Linked DNA regions of Saccharomyces cerevisiae S288C. Changing the gene in region 1 together with any one later gene gives a genetic interaction. Each region holds a gene or a part of one and is shown on either strand. Other genes may lie near its edges. The genes, in order: IPA1, PAU13, UBA1 and SPO7.

Region 1 (3,560 bases):
ATATTCCCTAAATGGTTAACAAGAAGTTCGTAAATCGATAAAGCCAAATATTTGCATTGCCTTTTGTTTTTGTTAATAAGTGCAAAAATGTTCGATTCGATTCCAAATACAAACCATAAAACAATTTTTAGAAGCTGAGACTCCCAAAGGTAGTCTATAATGAGACGCCTTCCGTTTCCTTCATCGTAAGTTCCAAGCAATTTGAATAATAATTTCAAACGCACTTGATGGAAGTGAAGATTGCCTGCATTCACTTCGGAAATAAAAGATCTGATGTGATCCGAGTCCAAATCATTTAAATATCTAGGAAAGCTCTCCTTATCATCAAATGCATTAGATTTCAGGAGCGCATTTAGTTGGAATAATTCCTCATTTTCGTTAGAACCACTGGACAAGTAGTCATTTTGGTTAAAAATATCAGTATATCTACTACTCCAAGATTTCAAACATTCATAGAGATCAGTATAGGGAATAAATTTTTCGGGTTGTTTGTCACTAGAGCCAATGATAAATTTGGAAGCAAATGTGTCAAAATCGCAAAAGGGTAGAATGTGAATATATGACAACAACGTGTTGAACTCACCAAAAAATCTTTTATGAACGTCCATAACAAGCTCTTTTGAGTTTTCTTGTTCTCTTTCTTTAAAGCGTTTACTACTTCTTTGAAGAGGCTTCGTGCTATCGATATGTTCATCAGTTCTCTTGTTAGGCCTTGCTTCTTCATTAGTTTGGATATCCGATGGAGCTAAATTCCCACTCTTATCATCTGCTCGTACACTCTCATTATCTTGCTCTTCTTCTTGTCGCTCAGACTCTCTATCTAAAGATGGTGTATTATTAATTGCTTCCGATAGTTCAAACTTAACCGCTTCAATAGGTTCTTCAATTTCGTTATACGGATCCATATTCCTTCCAATAAGAGACGATGTTTTAACGCTGGGTAGTAAGTTTTTCAAAGCCTTCGCAACTTCATCCCATGATTCTTCATTCAAAGTGACATTAAACACGTCCAGCTTTTTCATTATTTCCTCATCTTGCTTTTTCATTTCTGATATTCTAGAAAGAATTGGACCAAAAGCTAGTGGTTCCGGCTTAATATCTTTGTACTTCTCCAAATGATATCTCTCAAAGATTGTGTTATCCGATAAGTTGGGGACTAATAGTTTGTTCGTGAGTTCTACGTAGTTATTCATCATCAGAGTCAAATCGTTCAAAAGAAATTTACGATGTCGCCCCAACAAAAGTGAAAGATTTTCCTGCTTAGTGAATTCATATTCTGATATTAAACGTTCCAACTTGACACTATTAAAGCTCTTGAAGATGCGAGCCAGCAAATCTGTAACTGCAAAATCAGCATCGCTATGTTGAATAGACTCAACCAAGTTCTCAACTGCTTTTAAAATACAATTAACTAGTTCTTGTGAGTTCAACCTTTCATAGTTATTCTCCAAATACAGATGATAGTACATCCCTCTGTTCCTATAACATAGATATCGCAGGTTATCTAGCGTAGGAGAAGAATTGCGATACATGCCCCACCTATCAGGCTTGACGACATCAATCTGGAAGAGCTCTTGGAATTTGCTGTCCGACTTTTCGAAGTCCTTGTTTTTTAGATCAATCAGAGCGTCCTGCAAAATATTAAAACTCTGTTCTATTTGAAGCTCTCTTGAATGCTCCTCTGCTTCATATTGTTCACCTTCGATGTTTGAATTGAGGGCATTGAACATAGACATAATAAGCTTTATCTAGAATCTGTGTTGAGGTTCTAACTCCTTAAAGTGCCTTTACGGACCTGCCTTGCTACCGTCTATTTGTATTTCTGCTCTTCCCAACGTAAACAATTCAATAAATAATTTCGCGATGGCACATAGTAACAAGCTGTTAAATCGAAGTAAAGAAAAGGAAAGTCAAGAAAACAAAGAGAGAAACAAATGCAAGGGTGATGGTTCAATATGTGGTAGAATGGTTACCAAGGATACAGAGCATTTCAGTGGTAGTAGAAGGTTGGAAGCAGGTGGAGATAAAGAACTTGAAGGACACACTCATGAGCATATCTGGTGATGAAGAACAAGTTGAAGATATTTTACTTCCAGTAGAAGTTGAAGAAAAAGTAGACGCTTCTTACAAGTTCAAAAACAGAGGTAAAGACTTAGAATGGATGACGAAGTTAAGAAGCAAATCCTCTAAGATATATGACAGTTCTATCATGTCGCTTCCAGATGGAAGATGGACTAAAGAAGAGCTTCGCTCAGATTCTGATTTCTCGATAGAATGTCTTAACTGTAAGCAAAAAATTATAAGCAAAGATAACTGTCAAGTTTTGAATGATATGCCTTCAGAGTTTTGGTTCGAGTTAATGGATTATTGGCATTGCCACAAACCCGATGTTAAGGAAGACAAGTCTTCCTACACAAGATTTGAAACGCTAAAACCATCTAAAAACGAAATTTTAATTGGAAGCTCTTATTTTCAAGGCACTCCTGCGACTTTTGAAAATGTAGCGACTACAAAGGAAAATGATAATGTTTTATGCATAAAGTGCTCAGCAGTGTTAGGCCAAGTAACTGCTGGTTCGCTTTATAAACTACACAAATGGAAACTGCAGTTAATACGCAGTGGAAACACATACAAATTTCCTCCAGAATGTGACATTACAATTTCTTTAATAAACGTAGTTAAGGCAAACTCTTGTCGTTACGTACTAGTAAAATGTAAAACGGAATCATTGCTAGTTTGGATATTTTCCGTTGACATTGGAGTCACATTGACGGGAAACAAAAGCTTCAAGAGAGCGATGAAGTTGCTTTACACAAACAGCGTTACCACAATAAATCGATGTCTCAATCGACAAGTCGTCGAGGAATTAGATTTCCAAGAAACATCGTTTAATGCTTTTTACAGCGCCCTTCAACATACTAATGCACTTTTACCCTCAAGCATGAAAAAAATTGGTGAATGGACCATTAGCTATACATCACTAATCTAATTTTAAGAACCATTCTCTTTCAAATTTGTACAAATATTGTCATCAAGTAATAAATAGCTTCTTTTTTTTTTTAACATACAGTTGTAGAATTAACTTCGTTGGCCGAAGAATTGCACAACAATAGCGTTTGTTATATTACTAAATATAGGGGCTTTCTTGGGAACGAAAGTGAAACAAACGCTTTTAATACAATGAAGGTCGAGAAATCATCTAAAGGCTTGGAAGTTTTAGTGAGGACACAGGAGGATGATCTAGAGGGGTTCTCTTTCCTGGAGATTATGGACCGCGTAGACCCTTTACCATTAGACTTCGAGAATTACAAAAATTTCAAAGAGGGCATTTACTATATGTGTACACACGATGGCACAAAGATCGGTTTCGTGTTGAAATTTGCGATAAATGAAATGGAGACTGTTTGCTCGGAAATCTTCGAAGAAACCTTCCAATTAGATGAATCTAGACATGAGTTAAGGTTTAAAAGTGAAGATTTTGATCATAGAAACAATCTAATTGACCAATTGGCTCGTAAAATGTATTTAGAATCATCCTTGAGTGGTGTGAAGGGCTGGAG
Region 2 (2,804 bases), on another chromosome or scaffold:
TGAACTATTACCAGAATCGTTAATGTTGGTTGCTCCATTACTTCTCATCTCCAGATCAGCATATATACTATTCATATTGGAATTCACAAGGTACGGGGTAGCCACCAACTTTTTAAAAACCTGATAGCAATAACTGCCATCGTAGAAAAAAGATCTATCTGCACATATACGACGGTCATATACAAATTGGTTCATGTCATATGCAATCCGGTCCCATGTGCTCAAGTCCATGTTAGGTTTATGTGTAATGACTTCCGCTAATAGTTTGAACTTACAATCATCATCTAAACATCTTAACTTATATCTTGAGCAGCTTAAGTAAGGTAAGAGGAGTAAAAGGAATAGTGAAATTGTAATTAGTAAAGCCGCTAAGATAATAATCAAAGTATTACCGTGTGCAGATAATGCCAGGCGGTTTAAGATTATGGTAATAATAATATGGATGAAAATATATGAAATGAATACGATATTCTGTTTTAAGAAATAAGCGCATTTGCTGGGGGTTATGTCCCTTGGAAGGATCACTGTCTCACCTTCGCATAATTTTCTTAATCCTTCTGGTCTTGGTTTAGAATTAGATATTAATAATTCTGAACTCATAGCCTTAGCGGGCCCTCACTTGCTTTTGAATTTGTCTTTATACCACAAGTTAACAATTACATTTTCTATATCCTTTTTATATTGTTATAATTCGGGACTTAAAAGCGGGAATATCTAGAACTGGGAGGATTGCATCATTTTTCTTGGCCCGTATGTTTTTCTTCGAGTTTTGGCCGCAAGACGAGTAAGAAGAGGACAGAAATAAGTATGTTGCATAACTTTTGTAGAATTTACCAGAAAAACTCCAATATAACTTACTTCATTATGACATATAAGCTAGATCTTGATTTCTTTCGTCAACATACTAAAGCACGCTATCGGAGACTTCTTCAAACCCTTTCTTATGAGAACACTTAGCTGACTGTACATTTAAGAAGCTTTAGAGATGAGCCGTCACCATGAATATAGCGATGGTTTTGTCTACAAGGAATACCAACTATTAATACCATTTCCTACAGAAAGTTTTTAATTGAATAAAATACATTAGCGCCATATATTGCCTTTTTCACTTTTCTTTATATCTAGCTAGAAGAAAAATACTGTGCCTCGAAGAATAAATTTTTCCCACCGCACAGAGTTGTAGTACTGCTACAAACTGAACTCAACATTTTTTTTTTACCATACGCGGCTCTTCCAATACTAGCTGCTTCTCAGCGGCCTACAATTACGTAATTGCGTCAATGAATTTCCTGAGAACGCTTAAAAACTACAAACTCTACAAATAAGCGACTCCCAATACACGTTTTCTATTTTTAATTAAACTATCAGGAGAGGGATAATATAGTATTACCTCTTCCATTGGAGGCTGTTTACAGCAAATTGAATATGGGCTTAAACATAAGAATCTGTACGAGGGTCCAAATCTAAAATTCGGATATTCTTTTTGACCGAAAACGGAAACTTCAAAGGCACGGAAAAGGGTTTTATAAGGCACTCTGGCACCCCTATAATAGGCATTCCCACATTCTGCGCATACGAATAGACAAAGGCCCCAGAAAACAATACCTTCGCATACGGAATCTATAAAGATGCATGCCTCGTTTAAAAACAATAACATCTTCATAGTGATAATCAAATTCTGTGAAAGATGAGATATGGAGAATATGCGAGGTACTAAATGAGCGTCTGTTAACGAATCGTTTAAGTAGTGATGACTGATGAAGGCATGGGTATAAATAGAGCTGCTTCAACTATATGCCTTTGAGAATATGTCTTTATTCCTTCCCTTCCTGTTAAGCTTATATCAGCACTAACAAACATAACAAACATAACAAATACAATGGTCAAACTAACTTCAATCGCCGCTGGTGTCGCTGCCATCGCTGCTACTGCTTCCGCAACCACCACTCTAGCTCAATCTGACGAAAGAGTCAACTTGGTTGAATTGGGTGTCTACGTCTCTGATATCAGAGCTCACTTGGCCCAATACTACATGTTCCAAGCCGCCCACCCAACTGAAACCTACCCGGTTGAAGTTGCTGAAGCCGTTTTCAACTACGGTGACTTCACCACCATGTTGACTGGTATTGCCCCAGACCAAGTGACCAGAATGATCACCGGTGTTCCATGGTACTCCAGCAGATTAAAGCCAGCCATCTCCAGTGCTCTATCCAAGGACGGTATCTACACTATCACAAACTAGAGACAAACGCCTTTACGAATGAAATTCCATAAAACTTAAAAAAACAAAAAAAAAAAAGCTTTTTTTTTTGATAGTATAAATAGTTGATTATATTAATGTATACCAGTATTATAAAACCTACTTGATTATTCATGCCGTTCTTATCAGAAGTATTTACTGTAGTGGTAAAATATAGTGCCTTGATAATCCAATAGTCTTGTCTGTCTAAAAGGCTTCAGTTGAATACCTTCTTTCGTACATGTTGCTATTTCAGGGTATCGGGCCGGAGCATTTACCATTTGCGGCGTAAATGCTAAAGTTAATAAATCTGAGTCTTCCTGTTTTATGAGTCAGATGGAGGTGTAACGCAAAGAGTAAGTTAATCACAGAAAAAGGTTAGTATCCATTACATATTTATGTTATAGAACATATATGCGTATAGAGACAGAAAAATTGTTTAATAATAAAATCACCCACGCTTGCGTAAGACGTCCTTGAAGTCTTAATTAGTCCAGCTATAGTTATTAGCTATACCAATTGAAGAACCAATCGGTCGAGCGTTTTATATATCAGTAGAAAGCAA
Region 3 (5,171 bases), on another chromosome or scaffold:
GGCTTGGATACACGTATTGATACAACTTTACTGTCAGGTGGACAAGCGCAAAGGCTTTGCATAGCCAGAGCACTTCTGAGAAAATCAAAAATTCTGATTTTAGATGAGTGTACTTCAGCCTTGGATTCTGTCAGCTCCTCTATCATCAATGAGATCGTCAAAAAAGGTCCACCTGCTCTACTAACAATGGTTATAACGCATAGTGAACAAATGATGAGGTCTTGTAACTCGATTGCAGTTCTTAAAGATGGTAAAGTGGTTGAGCGAGGTAACTTCGACACTTTATATAATAATCGCGGGGAATTATTCCAAATTGTTTCCAACCAAAGCAGTTAAACCCAAAGAAAATATAAAACAAAAAACTAAAACATACTCAAATATTCGAGACTACATTAATAATAATAATAATAATAATAATAATAAGTTTTTACCAAAGAAAAAGTTGTCAAAAGTCATACATATATATATACATATTTAATGTATATATTTAATTTATTTTTTTATTTTGGTTAATTAGTTACTCATAGATGAATGGTAATGAAAGGAACTTCAACATCCTCTCCTTCCTTGTCATCTGCGCAAATTTCGAGAATCATTGTAGATACATGTGCCGGAATATCTTTCTTAGTCACTAATTTAACCAATTGAGTTATTGGTAGATTTAGTCTTTCTTTCAATTTCTTTGGAGGGAAAAATGAGGCATAAAGAAGAGAAACGCCATAAGAAAGCATTGTTATTTCTAACCCTTCATCTTTTTCAAAATGTTCAATTAAATCACTTAATTTAATATCTCCCTTGATATCAAATCTATCCCAAATTTTATCATATTTCTTGTTGTTATATTCTCCCTTTGGTGAAGCAATTGGTTCCGAAAAACCGAAAAATGGCAAAGCTAAATTAACAAAGCCATTCTTATATTGCTCAATATCTGTCTTGTTGTCAATCAGTTTATATAATTCCAAATTGACCAAACCAGTAACCAAAGAAGTGGTTGTTGCGATGGCAGGAATAATACGGCCAGCTATGAATTTGGTCTTTTGGCGATCAGCAGTTTCGATGAAGTAGTTTTGAGCTCTACAGTTAGAACAAGCCGTTATAAATTCAATATGATGATTAGTGTCATCGTCTTTCTCGAAATCTACAGGCTCCAGTTTAAAGCCAGCCAAAGTAGAAGGATCTGGTAGGGATGATACCAGCTGATCAATTTCATCTGAGCCATTAGCCGCGTTGGCATTTGGATCCGGATCATCGTCATTAACTTGAATTTTCAAATTGGCATTTGGAGTAAATTCTGGAATTATCATATGATCGATGACGGACTTATACTCGTCCACGTTGGGTTTAGAATTAGAGTCATCACTTTTAATACCATAATTATAAGCGCGTAAACTAGCACCTGCTACGACAAAATGGAAGTGATCGTTATTGTAAATATCAAACTCTAATGGTGTTGGAGCACGCTTAGCACCGGACCAAAATGGTTCACCGTTGGAAGTCTTGGCATCCTTGGGGAAGTTGAACAGTAACTGCTTGATATCATGGTTGAATTTTTTTTCAAATTCTAACCTTGCCCATTTGATACAATCTTCAAAATTGTGTGGTTTACTAGATAGAGAATCTGAGATGGATTCTAGAACTCCCTTGACATCCCCGCTTTGCTTTAGTGTTTGCTCAACGAAATTCGGTTGTGTCAAGTACATATTAACGTTTTCGGCGGAATCAGTGAAGTAACCTTGGAAAAGAGATTTGGCCCAGGCAATGGTGTGATCAATCTTGTTTGGGAAAGAACGTAGGGTACACAATGGGATAGACTTTTCTGGTGGGTCTCTAGAAGAAGAGTATGATTCAGTCAATCTTGGAATGATGACTTGAGTATTACCTTTAGTACCTAGGGTACCAGATTCTAACAGTGGTTTTCTATAAAACACACAACGGCGATCTACGTATGTTCTTGCGTCGACATTGTCTAGAGCGTTGGTGACAAAATCCAGGCTTTCCCAAAAGGAGTCATTAAATATTTCCTCAGTTTCTGGCCCCACTTTATCAATTTTAGCATTTATCTTGCCCTTCAAATCGGGGTTCATAGCACAAACGGCCTCTGCCGCTACTTCAGATTTGTTCTTTCCGACATCCTTTGGTCTAAACAAGAACTGACGGTTTAAGTTGGACTTTTCGATCGAATCGTTATCCGTAACAACGATGTAACCGTCGGAGCCAGAACCAAGCCCCAAAAGTGCCCAATTTTTCAACATCTCACAACCAATGGCACCAGATCCGACAAGAAAGACCTTTGAATTGGCAATCTTTTTCTGAAAATCCAAACCGAAAACCGCGATTTGATTATCGTAACGAGAGTTTACTGGCTGAGTAGTCTTCTCATTTCTTGGGAAGTTTTTAGGATCTGGCAATGATTCCAAGGAATCAAAGTACATAAATTGCTTTAGCGGAGTAAATTTACCAGAACATGCTTTTAACACTTCTTGTGCCACAAGGCCACCGAAAAATGCTACGACACCCGGTATGTCACCTCTTGCCTGATAGGAAAGCTCTTTGATTAAATCTTCATTAACATCTACACCTTCACCCAGAACCTCCGGTTGCTGAACGGACAAATCGGTGACCAACTTGATTAATTCATTGGCGTCTTCGTCATTCATTGTTCTTGGCAGTTCACCATTATGTCTAACGGCAAACTGATGTAAAGCCTGAAATCCCAAATGCAATTGAGCAGCTCTGTCAAATTTAGCAAAATCCGAAAAAACAAACTCAGGATTGGACAGTTGTTGTTTCAAAGACTTGAATGAGATTTTACGGGGTACTTTGACTTCGGTGAAGATACCGCCCTTCTTATACTCGCCATATTCTTTGACTGAACCAATTCTGAATGCAAAGGGCCCCAAAACCTCAACTTTAAAAAGGGTCCCATCATTCAACTTATCAAGACCTTCTACTTCGGAGAACCTGACAAAATTTCCGTCTTCCAACCCGTGTCTGTTATCATCTAGCATGGTCACTGTTCCATCGGGCTCGATGTCTGAAACCATACCAGTGCGAGGTTCTTCACCCGTTGGGTCCAACACTGTGAACTCGTCACCTAGGTCTACGAAGGTGTTACCAAACAGCCCTCTTGTCTCCGAGGAAATGAATCTAATACCGGAGGAATGGCAAAATTCGTTGATTTTCACCTTATCTTCCAAAGAAACAGTGTCCGTAGCGACAACGACCTGGAATTGACTCAATTGGGTAACATCGTCTAAGGAATCCAGCACATTAACCGGGACATATGCGTTCAACTCTGCCAATTTGGCTCTGGTCACATCTCCTCTCTTTTGACCAATATCCTTTTCGGTCAAAAAGAATTGGGTTGATAAGTCTGCCAATTGAACCGGCTCAGGGTCAAAAACGGTCATAGATTTGACACCTGCCAACACAACGTTCTTCGCTATCTCAACACCTAGCCCCTTCAAGCCGAGAATTAATACGTTGGAGGTTTGCATTTTCAACATTGCTTCCTTACCCAACACATAAAGTTGACGAGAATAAAGACTTTCATCGATTTCTCCGGCGGCAGAGAGACCACTATTATTGCTGCTCATAGCTATAGTTATATGTTCTTTGCTTTGCTACTAATCTTACTTTTTGTTTGCTTATATCCAGCGATTGGCGGTTGCTCATCCTACTTAAAGGCCCTTTTTGATCATTTTCTTTTACCTTTATTTGCCACCCGCACCTTTTGTCACACTACACGAGAATATGCCGCATGGAAGCGTAATGGCAATTCAAGAAAGAGCTCTAATATTATTTACAATCACATGAATACAAGATCATAGCTTAACAAGGAGTGGATAGTCAGTAAAGGCGCCCTAAGCTCTACTAAAAACTGGGCTTTAAAAGATGTTCCTCGTCACTTGAGAATCTGTTGTCCCTATCTGGTTCCTCATCATACAATCCACTCCATCGTTTCTCCCACCCTACTACAAACTAGTGAGGCGAACGAGAAAATAAGAAACACTAAGGCTCGCTTTTCCTGCTGGACAGAGACATGCATTAGTGTTTGTTGTTCTCGCGCCAGTCGCTGTTTTTGCTTGCAAGTGCGACGTCCTCTTCTTCTTCTTCTTCTTTCTTCTTTGAGATGCGTAACAACACAACTACATTTTGTATTTTCCTCCCTTTTATACTCCTCCGCTGGAGTATTTTTTCGTATTTTTCACTTTTTTTGCTTCTTATAGGCCTTTTTGAACTATTTTCTGTTAGGGCTTAAAGAAAGCGCAGCAAATGGCTGATTTTAAATGCTGTTTTCTCGAAAGCAATGCTGATGATGTACCACAAAGTAGTATTTGCGCTTAGCTTGTCGATATAAGTATGCCTTTGAGCCAGTATTAAACTTCCTACTATCTCTTCTGGACCTCACCGTGCTATTCATATCACTGACGACGGAAAATGCCTCTTGTAGTAATCATTGAATGATCATCAATGGCTCGTTGACTCATTCTAATCTATAGCAGATATTAAGGTACGCAAAAAGTTCGACAAGGAGCTGGTCAGTATTAACACATTACCAAATCTGTTTGGTTCTACATAGAACGCCATAAAAGTAAGAAAAAAATGTCTGTGCACGCTGCAACAAACCCAATCAATAAGCATGTGGTTCTAATTGACAACTACGATTCCTTTACCTGGAACGTTTACGAGTACTTGTGCCAGGAGGGCGCCAAAGTGAGCGTCTACCGTAACGATGCAATTACAGTTCCAGAAATTGCCGCCTTGAATCCCGACACATTGCTTATCTCGCCTGGACCAGGCCACCCAAAGACAGATTCTGGCATTTCAAGAGACTGTATCCGGTACTTTACTGGGAAAATTCCTGTATTTGGAATCTGTATGGGCCAGCAATGCATGTTTGACGTATTTGGTGGTGAAGTTGCCTACGCTGGTGAGATTGTCCACGGTAAAACGTCCCCAATCTCTCACGACAACTGTGGAATTTTCAAGAACGTGCCGCAAGGTATTGCTGTGACAAGATACCATTCATTGGCCGGGACAGAATCGTCCCTACCATCCTGCTTGAAGGTTACTGCGAGTACCGAAAATGGAATTATCATGGGTGTAAGACACAAGAAGTACACTGTAGAAGGTGTGCAATTTCATCCGGAATCCATCTTGACCGAGGA
Region 4 (3,148 bases), on another chromosome or scaffold:
CCTCCTTTCCTCGGTAATTGCCGTACTGTTGCCCACAGTTGGTTCCAAGGGACCCTGTTGTTTGACAGCTGCCCCTAAAGAATCATTGAATATCAACTTAGAAGGCTGGCGATTCATCAAGTAAAAGCCACCAGCAACTATGCCAGCACCGCCTAACCCTACAGAGCGAGTTAAGGGCTTTCCTAATTTATTGGCGACATTAAACCTCCATAAGGGGACGTTCTTGAACATGCGCTTCCCAACATTCAAATTACGAAACACCAACCGTTGCATATTAAAAGCCAAAGTCATTTTACACCTATTATTTTAAGTTCTTCCTTCTTGCCCCTCTAGCGTTATGCTGTTGTATGTATAATAAGATGCCTTGTTTAACCAATTTCAACAACCCCTAGGTTTTCTAGCACTTGTTGGAAAACTTAAATATGAAATGACGGATTTGTAAAATTTTCACGACACAACAGCTTCACTTCTAATAATGTATAAAATATAATTTATGTGTGAACATAGATGGTTACAATTTTACATAGGTAAATATGACCTCTTATTCGAAGGAAGAAGCCCTCCAACTCTTTCATTCTGATTTAGGTCGGAGTTCGTGCGCTTGTTTGCGTCTTCTAGCACCTTCCCTGGCCCAAAACTCGTCTCTATAAATCTCCCATCCTTCTCTAATCTCTGCACTAAATGCTCTGGGGTTGAGGACTAATTTCACATCCACAGCTCCGATCCTCGGTTGGGATTGTATCGTGACACTTTTCCAAAATTTCACAATGGCATTATCGTCTTTAAGCCACAGAAATTTTTTCAAACAATAAATATTACAATAAGCAATTGTTCGACTCACAAATCTTACTGAATCTGTGTATTTCTCGTCCCACGTAGACTGTACTTTAACTAGCTTCACATTAAACTGCCTAATCCCTTTATTAGTAGAGGTAAAAAATCTTCTTGGAATGACGATAGTTCTTCTATATTGTCCACTGATATGAAAAAGAACTACAGTAATGGAAATGAAAGAAAGAGTGAATTGCAAAATAACCCTATGGAGGCCCTTGACATAATCTGAAGTGAAATAAAGTTCGTAGAAGGTAAATGCGCCTACACCGGCCATAGACGCTAAGAACAAAGTGAATTGCCACTTCAGTATCTTTTGTTCGTGAGCTTGGCGTCTTAAATCATCCTCCAGTATCAACAAATTCCTGAAAATCATCGATGCTGGAGAGATATTACTGGAGTTCCGTATATTCTTCGCACTGGATGTCTTGCTAGTAGAACGCCTGCGAGGCCCGGACACTATACTGGCACTATCATCCTGGGCATGGTTCCCCACATCGCCTATGCTCTCTGGCTCCATGACCTCCTTTATTTAGCTTTCCACTACCTTTCTTCCTTTGTGTGTATAATCAATAGATTTTCGCTAAATTTCGCATCTTCCCTTTTAAGAATAATTAGTATTTAATTTTACTTTGACTTTATTGTTGAGTGAAGAAACAAAGCAAATATACGTTAGGAAAAAGACACGAACAGAGAAGACCGATCTTGATGCTACCCTATATGGACCAAGTACTAAGGGCATTTTATCAGAGCACCCATTGGAGTACGCAAAATAGCTACGAGGATATAACGGCCACATCGAGAACATTATTAGATTTCCGAATTCCCTCAGCAATACACCTGCAAATTTCCAACAAATCTACTCCCAATACATTCAATTCTTTAGATTTTTCTACGAGGTCCAGGATAAATGGTTCTCTGAGTTATTTATACTCCGATGCACAGCAATTGGAGAAATTCATGCGCAACTCTACTGATATCCCATTACAAGATGCCACCGAAACATACAGACAATTGCAACCAAACCTCAATTTCAGTGTTAGTAGTGCGAATACGTTGAGTAGTGACAACACCACAGTCGACAATGACAAGAAATTACTACATGACTCGAAATTTGTTAAAAAATCCCTTTATTATGGTAGAATGTACTACCCCAGCTCTGATTTAGAAGCAATGATAATAAAACGACTAAGTCCACAAACCCAATTTATGCTTAAGGGTGTCAGTAGTTTCAAAGAAAGCTTAAACGTTTTAACGTGCTATTTTCAAAGAGATTCTCACCGCAATTTACAGGAGTGGATATTTTCCACCAGTGATCTATTATGTGGTTATAGAGTATTACACAATTTCCTTACCACGCCTTCCAAGTTTAACACCTCACTGTACAATAATTCTTCGTTGTCGCTTGGTGCTGAATTTTGGTTAGGGTTAGTAAGTTTAAGCCCCGGTTGTTCGACAACTTTAAGATATTACACACATTCTACAAACACAGGACGACCACTAACTTTGACATTATCTTGGAATCCATTATTCGGCCATATATCCTCCACATATTCGGCCAAGACAGGGACAAATTCTACTTTTTGCGCGAAGTATGATTTTAATCTTTATTCGATTGAATCAAATCTTTCATTTGGGTGCGAATTTTGGCAAAAAAAGCATCATTTGCTTGAAACCAATAAAAACAATAATGATAAATTAGAACCAATCTCCGACGAATTGGTTGATATAAATCCAAACAGCAGAGCGACTAAACTACTGCACGAAAATGTACCGGATCTGAATTCAGCTGTTAACGATATTCCTTCTACACTAGATATACCTGTTCACAAACAAAAGCTATTAAATGATTTAACTTATGCATTCTCGTCGTCATTAAGAAAAATCGATGAAGAAAGATCTACCATCGAAAAATTTGATAACAAAATAAATAGTTCCATTTTTACCAGTGTTTGGAAATTAAGCACGTCATTACGTGACAAGACTTTAAAACTATTATGGGAAGGCAAATGGAGGGGATTTTTAATATCTGCCGGGACAGAGCTGGTATTCACTAGAGGCTTTCAAGAAAGTTTATCCGATGATGAAAAGAATGATAATGCAATATCTATATCAGCAACTGATACAGAAAACGGCAATATACCAGTTTTCCCGGCAAAGTTTGGCATACAATTCCAGTACTCCACATGATGAGTAATGTGAAATAAAATAAAGGTTTTAATATACAGGTTAAAAAATAAGTAATACAATGTGTATAATCATAATGGCGTTAAAGCAGAATAAAGTAACCGAACACCTTATCTTTTGTGTCTTCTGC

Evidence for each region.
Region 2: mutations in IPA1 (region 1) and PAU13 together harm fitness more than expected from each alone (negative genetic interaction), as found in Saccharomyces cerevisiae (one large-scale study listed by BioGRID).
Region 3: mutations in IPA1 (region 1) and UBA1 together harm fitness more than expected from each alone (negative genetic interaction), as found in Saccharomyces cerevisiae (one large-scale study listed by BioGRID).
Region 4: mutations in IPA1 (region 1) and SPO7 together harm fitness more than expected from each alone (negative genetic interaction), as found in Saccharomyces cerevisiae (one large-scale study listed by BioGRID).

The regions. Positions count from the first base shown.
Region 1 is NC_001142.9:693,961-697,520, forward strand, and holds IPA1 (putative polyadenylation protein), read left to right. Parts: upstream 1-1,945; coding exon 1,946-2,989; downstream 2,990-3,560. Other genes in the region: HIR3 (Hir3p), read right to left, coding at 1-1,736; YJR142W (uncharacterized protein), read left to right, coding at 3,181-3,560.
Region 2 is NC_001140.6:11,361-14,164, reverse strand, and holds PAU13 (seripauperin PAU13), read left to right. Parts: upstream 1-1,879; coding exon 1,880-2,242; downstream 2,243-2,804. Other genes in the region: DFP4 (DUP240 family protein), read right to left, coding at 1-600; PXP3 (Pxp3p), read right to left, coding at 1,316-1,663.
Region 3 is NC_001143.9:37,588-42,758, reverse strand, and holds UBA1 (E1 ubiquitin-activating protein UBA1), read right to left. Parts: upstream 3,597-5,171; coding exon 522-3,596; downstream 1-521. Other genes in the region: ATP-binding cassette a-factor transporter STE6, read left to right, coding at 1-336; TRP3 (bifunctional anthranilate synthase/indole-3-glycerol-phosphate synthase), read left to right, coding at 4,606-5,171.
Region 4 is NC_001133.9:134,057-137,204, reverse strand, and holds SPO7 (Nem1-Spo7 phosphatase regulatory subunit SPO7), read right to left. Parts: upstream 1,352-3,148; coding exon 572-1,351; downstream 1-571. Other genes in the region: FUN14 (Fun14p), read right to left, coding at 1-291; MDM10 (Mdm10p), read left to right, coding at 1,540-3,021; SWC3 (Swc3p), read right to left, coding at 3,129-3,148. UniProt on the Saccharomyces cerevisiae protein: Regulatory component of the NEM1-SPO7 complex which acts as a phosphatase and dephosphorylates the phosphatidic acid phosphohydrolase PAH1. Essential for the formation of a spherical nucleus and meiotic division.